2 linked regions of the Callithrix jacchus genome follow. The protein of the gene in region 2 binds, or shares a complex with, the protein of the main gene of each other region. Links are inferred from orthologs where the notes say so. Each region holds a gene or a part of one and is shown on either strand. Other genes may lie near its edges.

Evidence for each region. Proteins that work in one complex are often made in the same cells at the same time.
Region 1: CASC3 (region 2) and MAGOHB share a complex: the UniProt entries of both Homo sapiens proteins name them as parts of the mRNA splicing-dependent exon junction complex. The link is inferred for Callithrix jacchus from reciprocal best matches to the Homo sapiens genes CASC3 and MAGOHB.

What each region holds. Positions count from the first base shown.
Region 1 is NC_133510.1:12,487,836-12,491,584, reverse strand, and holds the start of MAGOHB (protein mago nashi homolog 2), read right to left. Parts: upstream 2,515-3,749; 5' UTR 2,438-2,514; coding exon 2,344-2,437; intron 1-2,343. UniProt on the Homo sapiens protein: Required for pre-mRNA splicing as component of the spliceosome. Plays a redundant role with MAGOH in the exon junction complex and in the nonsense-mediated decay (NMD) pathway.
Region 2 is NC_133506.1:71,774,539-71,778,187, forward strand, and holds part of CASC3 (protein CASC3), read left to right. Parts: coding exon 1-352; intron 353-3,649. UniProt on the Homo sapiens protein: Required for pre-mRNA splicing as component of the spliceosome. Core component of the splicing-dependent multiprotein exon junction complex (EJC) deposited at splice junctions on mRNAs.

The sequences.
Region 1 (3,749 bases), on a different chromosome or scaffold from region 2:
CAGAGCATTTAATCTTTAAAACAACCCTAAAAAACAAGTTTTATTATCTCACGTATTCATAGGAGAGAAAACAAAGTAACTTAACCAGGGTCACACAAGATTCAGCTCTAAATCTACTTTCTTTCAATACTCATGCTTTCTCCACTACACAAAATGTTTTAATTTCTTTCCTTCCAGTGTATGCATACAATTATGATAATGCAGACATTTTAGAATTATGACTAAGAAGCATACAAACAATGCTTCTGGGTCAAAGTTGGTGAGTTTGTTGGCTGGTTTATATTTAATTTTAATCCATCACGATTTTTGTATTCTCTGATGTATACTTCCCCTTATGGCCAGTCAGTTGCCCAGACACAGGTACAATGTACTGCAGATACTCTAAAATGATGGAAATGCCAGTCTTTGATGGCCAGGGACAGTGGCTCATGCCTGTAATCCCAGCACTTTGGGAGGCTGAGGTGGGTGAATCACCTGATGTCAGCAGTTCAAGACGAGCCTGGCCAACATGGTGAAAAATTAGCTGGATGTGGTGGCGCATGCCCACAATCCCAGCTACTCAGGAGGCTGAGGCAGGAGAATCCCTTGAACCCAGGAGGCCGAGGTTGCAGTGAACCAGGATCACACCATTGCACTCCAGCCTGGGCGACAGAGCAAGATTCCAGTCTCAAAAAAGAAAAAAAGAAAAGAAAAAGAAAAAAGATGCCAGTCTTCAGGACTCACTATTACCAATGGAGGTATGTGGAATGGCGCGGTGGCAGCTACATTGATTAGAACCATTGTTCTACCATACAATTTCCCTGATAATATTCAGGTACTTAATTTATGTGACCTGCTAAAAGGGATAGGGATAAGCATGATGTTGTTCACAGGCAGAGGAACTGAAAATAATATTAAAGAAAGATCAATTCAGGTAAATTTAGCTGAATTTATGGAGAGAGTAAGGTTGAATACAGCGATTAAGGTTTCTAAATAACTGCAGGGCTGGCTGGGTGCAGTGGCTCATCCGTGTAATCCCAGGACTTCGGGCAGCTGAATCACTTGACCTCGAGAATTTGAGGCCAGCCTGGGCAACATGGGAAAACCTGTCTCTACCGAAAAGAAAAATGAGTCAGGAGAGGTGTCACGGGCCTTACTCCCAGCAACTCGGGAGGCTGAAGTGGGAGGATCACTTGCGCCCGAGAGGCAGAGGTTGTAGCGAGCTGAGACTGTGCCACTGCACTCAGATCGGAGTGACACAGTGAGACCCTGTCTCAAAAAAAATAATAACTGCAGGACTGTAGTTAACGTGAGTTCCGTCTGAAGTGCTTGGTACTCTCCTCTTTTCCTAATATACACTCCTCCTGTAATTTTCTATTCTTGCTCTCACAGAACATTGTCCAAAACATGCTTATAGGACTTAATATGCATATTGCCTTATAGTTAAACGTCTGTGTCTCCCACCAAGACCAATCTCTTTGAGTTAAATTTAAGTCTTACTATTGTATCTTCAAATTTTGTATTTGCTTGTTGCCCAGCACAAAATGTGCATTCAAAAAAACCCAAAAAATATGTTTCCAAATGAACTTTCTTGTTGGAGGTAGGCAAGATCAATGTAACATTCTCTAAGGATAGTGCTGTCAGAAAACACAAATTGTTGCACACTACATGGGTAGCAGTTTCACCTGGTCCTCGGCTCATTCTGCTCTGGAAGTCTGGTTTTTTTCTCTCTCAAAGGCCAAGTCTCTCATTTCCAGACTCATCTCAGTAGTGTCGTCATCTAGGAAGATTTTCCTGATTCCCTCCTGTGGAACTTTGCCTCTCTCCTCTTTTTTGATACTCTATATACATGCTGTGGTGAACAATTATACTTAAGCACCTAAAACATATTATTATTCTCATTTGTTAACACGTCGAGCTCCTCCCCTTCAAATAACACACACAGCCTGAACGAACAAAATGTACTGGTTGCAAGATTTTATTCATCTATTGGACCACCAATGGTGGGGGTGTTTTCAAAAAGATGCTAGCATTTTTAATTATGGCGACCATCTCCAGAACCTTTCAAGTCCCTTCAGATGCACTGTTAAAAAATTATAATTACTGTAGGTTCAACTTTTCAGTTTGTGACAGGATTAGCTTTAATTTATAGCAATTCTCTTTACTTTATAAAACCAACTTGGGCCTCCTATATTCTTAAGCTCCTATTTCCTTCGGGGAAAGCAGTGGCCTCCGCCCCCTGCACACTCTCAAGCCTACAGAAGCTCGGCTCACCCCACACCACCCGGCCTCCCCTCGCCTTCTCCACGGACTCTAGGTCTCGCTCCCCTTTCCTAGCACCGCGTGCCGTGGGCCTCTTCTCACCGTCCGGCCGAAATTCGAACTCCAGAAACTCGTGCCCAAACTTGCCCTTGTGCCCTACGTAGTAGCGCAGATAGAAATCGCTAGCCATAGACATTTTTGTCCCTGCTAAGCCCGCCGAAAACAGACACAAGGTATCGCCCGGCGCCTGGCAGTGACGTCATTGCGCGGAATACGTGCGTCACCACAGGCGCCGCTTTTCCTCGTTCGGTGCAGCCCTGCCGAAAAGCTGGAAGGCCGAGTGTCGCTTGAGAGGCCGGAGTCACCGAAGGGAGGGTCGCAGCGACGTGACTTACGCTTTAAGAGGATTGGAAGCACACTATTTTCAAAATAAGGATTATAGTATATTAGCAAAAACTAGAAATCTGAGCATATGATAGTCTTTTTTATGGATTTAGAGCTAAGGTTTGCAAGTCGCTCTTACTTTTCTGGTCTCCCAGTCTGGCATCTGTGAGGTGGGTGTGGCTTCATGCGCCTCTAACTGTGAGCTAAATAAAGATAAAGCTTAGAATCGAAATAGCAGACTGGGAGTATAAACCGTTTTTCTTGGTTTCTAACAGGGTGCTTTCCCCTTTGGATAATGCTTGGTAGTTACCTGGACTATAAGCCTATAATAATAGAGACAAAGTCCAAGAAATCTATCACACGAAAGAGCTGAAAGTCTTAGACACACAGACACGCTGGTACACACTGAAAAACCCTGACAGTTATAACAGCTACAAGTCTATAATAATAGAGACAAAGTCAAAGGAATCCATCATACGGAAGAGCTGAAGTCTTAAAACACACACACACTGAAAAATCCTGACAGTCACCGTGCTTTTAACAGCAGAACTTCTAAGGTTTTTCATGCATTCAGTAAGGGTTAACTTTTAGTAGCCTGTGGAGTTTTGGCAATTTGATTTAAGATATAATAAGGATATTTAGCCCACGTTTCTCGCCAGGTGGAATTAAATTGGAGGCATGAAAGAATGCTCCATTGTGGGGTGGGTTTGAAGGAAAGGAAAAGACTAAAGTCTGTTTTTCAAATATGATTGATCACCCTTTTGTTACCAACACACAGAGTAATCCTGTCTGTCGGTTGATAACCTTCAATGGAATTTAGTAAAAAGTAATGAGAAGACCTGGGATTCAATCCCAACACTTACAGCTTCCTAACCTTGGGCAGGTCACTATCTCTAAGCCTGTTTGTTCATCAGTCTTATGCATATAGAGCAATCTACTTTGTCAAATTCACAGAATTCTTGAGAGATCAAATGAGAATAATATGTAAAATAAGCTTTAAATTTTATAAAACAGCTTTTAACAAACATTTCCTATGTGACAAAAAGTTTGAAACTAGAAATGAGCCATTTGCACTGGTAGTCTAGAAAAGAAAGCAAATATGTAAGGCAAATATCAGCACAAGG
Region 2 (3,649 bases):
CCTGAGAAGGAAGAGACAGCCTCAGAGACATTAGCTGCTGCTCCTGATACCACACCACCAGCCCCGGACAGGCCCATTGAGAAGAAATCCTATTCCCGGGCAAGAAGAACCCGAACCAAGGTTGGAGATGCAGTCAAGCTTGCAGAAGAGGTGCCCCCTCCTCCTGAGGGGCTGATTCCAGCACCTCCAGTCCCAGAAACCACCGCAACTCCACCTACTAAGACTGGGAACTGGGAGGCTCCAGTGGATTCCACTACAAGTGGACTTGAACAAGATGTGGCACAACTAAATATAGCAGAACAGAATTGGAGTCCCGGGCAGCCTTCTTTCCTGCAGCCACGGGAACTTCGAGGTAGGTATCATAGGATTGATGGCTAGCTTTTTCCCCTTTGCATCATCAGGTTTAGGGGCATGGGACTTCTGTCTCAGAAATATGGTGTCTGATAAATGTCTACTTCTTTTTTTATTTTTGAGACGGAGTCTCCTGCCTGGCTCCAGGCTGGAGTGCAGTAGCGCAATCTTGGCTCACTGCAACCTCTGCCTCCCAGGTTCATGCCTCAGCCTCCCAAGTAGCTGGGACTATGAGCACATGCCACCATACCCAGCTAATTTTTGTATTTTTAGTAGAGATGGGGTTTCACCATGTTGGCCAGGATGGTCTCGATCTCTTGACCTTGTGATCTGCCCACCTCGGCCTCCAAAGTGCTGGGATTACAGGCATGAACCATCACTCCCCGCCTACTTTTTCATTGACTGAGAGAAAGATGCATTCATAGGTACATTCATGAATTTTGCTCTTGACACCCAGTGTGATCTGATGTGCAGTAGCACAGTCTCAGCTCATTGCAAACTCTGCCTCCCAGCTAATTTTTGTATTTTTAGTAGAGATAGGGTTTCGTCATGTTGGCTAGGCCGGTGTTGCACTACTGACCTCAGGTGATCCACCTGCCTCAGCCTCCCAGAGTGTTGGGATTATAGGCATGAGCCGCCATGGTCAGCGAAAATAGGGTCTTTATCTTCTAGAAATAAGGATAAGAATATTGATTTGTGGCCGGGCGTGGTGGCTCACGCCTATAATCCCAGCACTTTGGGAGGCCGAGGCGGGTGGATCACGAGGTCAAGAGATCGAGACCATCCTGGTCAACGAGGTGAAACCCCGTCTCTACTAAAAATACAAAAAATTAGCTGGGCATGGTGGTGCACGCCTGTAGTCCCAGCTACTCGGGAGACTGAGGCAGGAGAATTGCTTGAACCTAGAAGGTGGAGGTTGCGGTGAGCCGAGATCGTGCCGTCGCACTGCAGTCGGTAACAACAGCGAAACTCCGTCTCAAAAAAAAAGAATATTGATTTGTTTGCTTTTCAGTTCTATGTTGTGGTAAAAGTTTATCAATAAATGTATTCCTAAAGAGTAGAAAATTAAAATGTAGCAGGGCACGGTGGCTCACACCTATTATCCCAGCATTTTAGGAGGCGGAGACGGGTAGATCAGGAGGTCAGGAATTCAAGACCAGCCTGGCCAACATAGTGAAACCCTGTCTCTACTAAAAATATAAAAATTAGCCAGACGTGGTGGCATGCGCCTATAATCCCCATTACTTGGGAGGCTGAGGCAGGAGAATCACTTGAGCCTGTGAGGCAGAAGTTGCAGCGAGCCAAGATTGTACCACTGCATTCCAGCCTGGGTGATAGAGCGAGATTTTATCCCCTGGGGCGGGGTGGGGGGGCGTAGAAAACATACCATTCAGATCTTATCTGCGCTGCTGACAGGGTGTGCCATCACATCCAACTAATTTTTGTATTTTTTGTCGAGATGGGGTTTTACCATGTTGGCCAGGCTGGTCTCAATTTCTTGACCTCATGATCTCCCCACCTCAGTCTCCCAAAGTGCTGGGATTACAGGTGTGAGCCACTGTGCCCAGCCCCGACTAATTTTTTTTTTTTTGAGATGGAGTTTTGCTCTATCTCCAGGCGGAGTGCAGTGGCGTGATCCCGGCTCACTGCTGCTTCCATTTTCCGGTTTCAAGCAATTCTCCTGCCGCAGCCTCCCGAGTAACTGGGACTATAGGCACGTACCACCATACCCAGCTAATTTTTTTTGTATTTTTAGTAGAGATGGGGTTTCACCATGTTGGCCAGGATGGTCTCGATCTCTTGACCTTGTGATCTGTCTGCCTCAACCTCCCAAAGTGTGGCTAATTTAAAAAAAAAAAATTTTGTAGTGATGAGGGTCACACTATGTTGATCTTGCACTCCTGGGCTCAAGTGATCCTCCCAAAGCGCTGGCATTACAGGTAAAAGATACTGCACCTGCCCAGTTGTCATTGAGCCTCCTGAGTACAGGATCCTTTTCTACTCTCTGTAAAAAAAGGGTAGTAGTCAACGTTATTATTTGCACTAATGGTAAATGTTTGAAGGGAGAAATTTATTCAGTTGAATTTTGATCAAGATCTTCTCTAGTATCTTTGAAAGGTAAGCCTCCCTAATTTCCTTAATCTTCTAGAGACAGATCATCCAGTAGAACTTTCTGTAGTGATTGTACTTTTGTGTTGTTATTGTTCTTATTATTTATATATAGAGATACAGATTTTTTTTTTTTTAAGATGGGGTCCCACTTTGTCACCTAGGCTGGAATCTGAAGTACAGTAGCGTGACCTTGGTTCACTGCAACCTCTGCCTCCAGGGCTCAAGCAATCCTCCCATCTCAGCCTCCTCAGTAGCTAGGATCACCTGGCTAAGTTTTTTTTACTTTTTGGGGAAACAAGGTCTCACTGTGTTTCCCAGGCTGGTCTTGAATTCCTGGGCTCAAGCATCCTCCTACTTCTGCCACCCAAAGTGCTGGGATTACAAGCATGAGCCACTGCACCCAGCTGGAATTGAACTTTTAATTTTAATTAATTGAAACTTAACTGACCACATTTGGCTTGTTGGTGTCATACTGGGCAGCATAGTTTTAGAGAGTAGGCCCAACTGTTGCCCATTTTGCCTATTGTAGTTTGTCTTCTTCTAGCCAGACAGATTGAAGGATCTTTTGTTAGTCTGAAATCTAACTTAAATACTGGAACTCCTCATTTGGAGTTGCAGCACACTTCTCACCATTGGAAGACAATCTCTAGAAACATTCCTTTTGTTCTTGAGTCATTTTAGCTAGCCAGAGGAGAATCTTCTCTCAAGCTTCCAACCTACAACAGCTCTGTGAATGGGGTATAACAAGTAGATTTACAAAGCATCCCTCCCTTGTCCAGCTGTTGCTCAGAAACTCTTGAGCTGAGATTTTTCAATATGTCAGATAATGTAATGTGCTAATTATAATCTCCCAGATGCAGAGAACAATTTGATAGGAAAAATTTGAACTTGATTTTCTTCACTGAAGTCATTTTTCATGTTCAAAGGCTTTATTACTATATTAAGATGGCAGACAGTGGGGACAAATTTCTAAATGCTGATGTTGACAGCAGAGATAATTTATAGAGAATTTTATTAGTTAAAAGAAGAAAGCCATTTCCCATGTGGACACTTAAACCTGTCATTTTCAGCCGGGTGTTGTGGCTCACACCTGTAATCCCAGCACTTTGGCAGGCAGATCACGAGATCAAGAGATGAAGACCATCCCGGTCAACATGGCAAAATCGTCTCTACTAAAAATACAAAA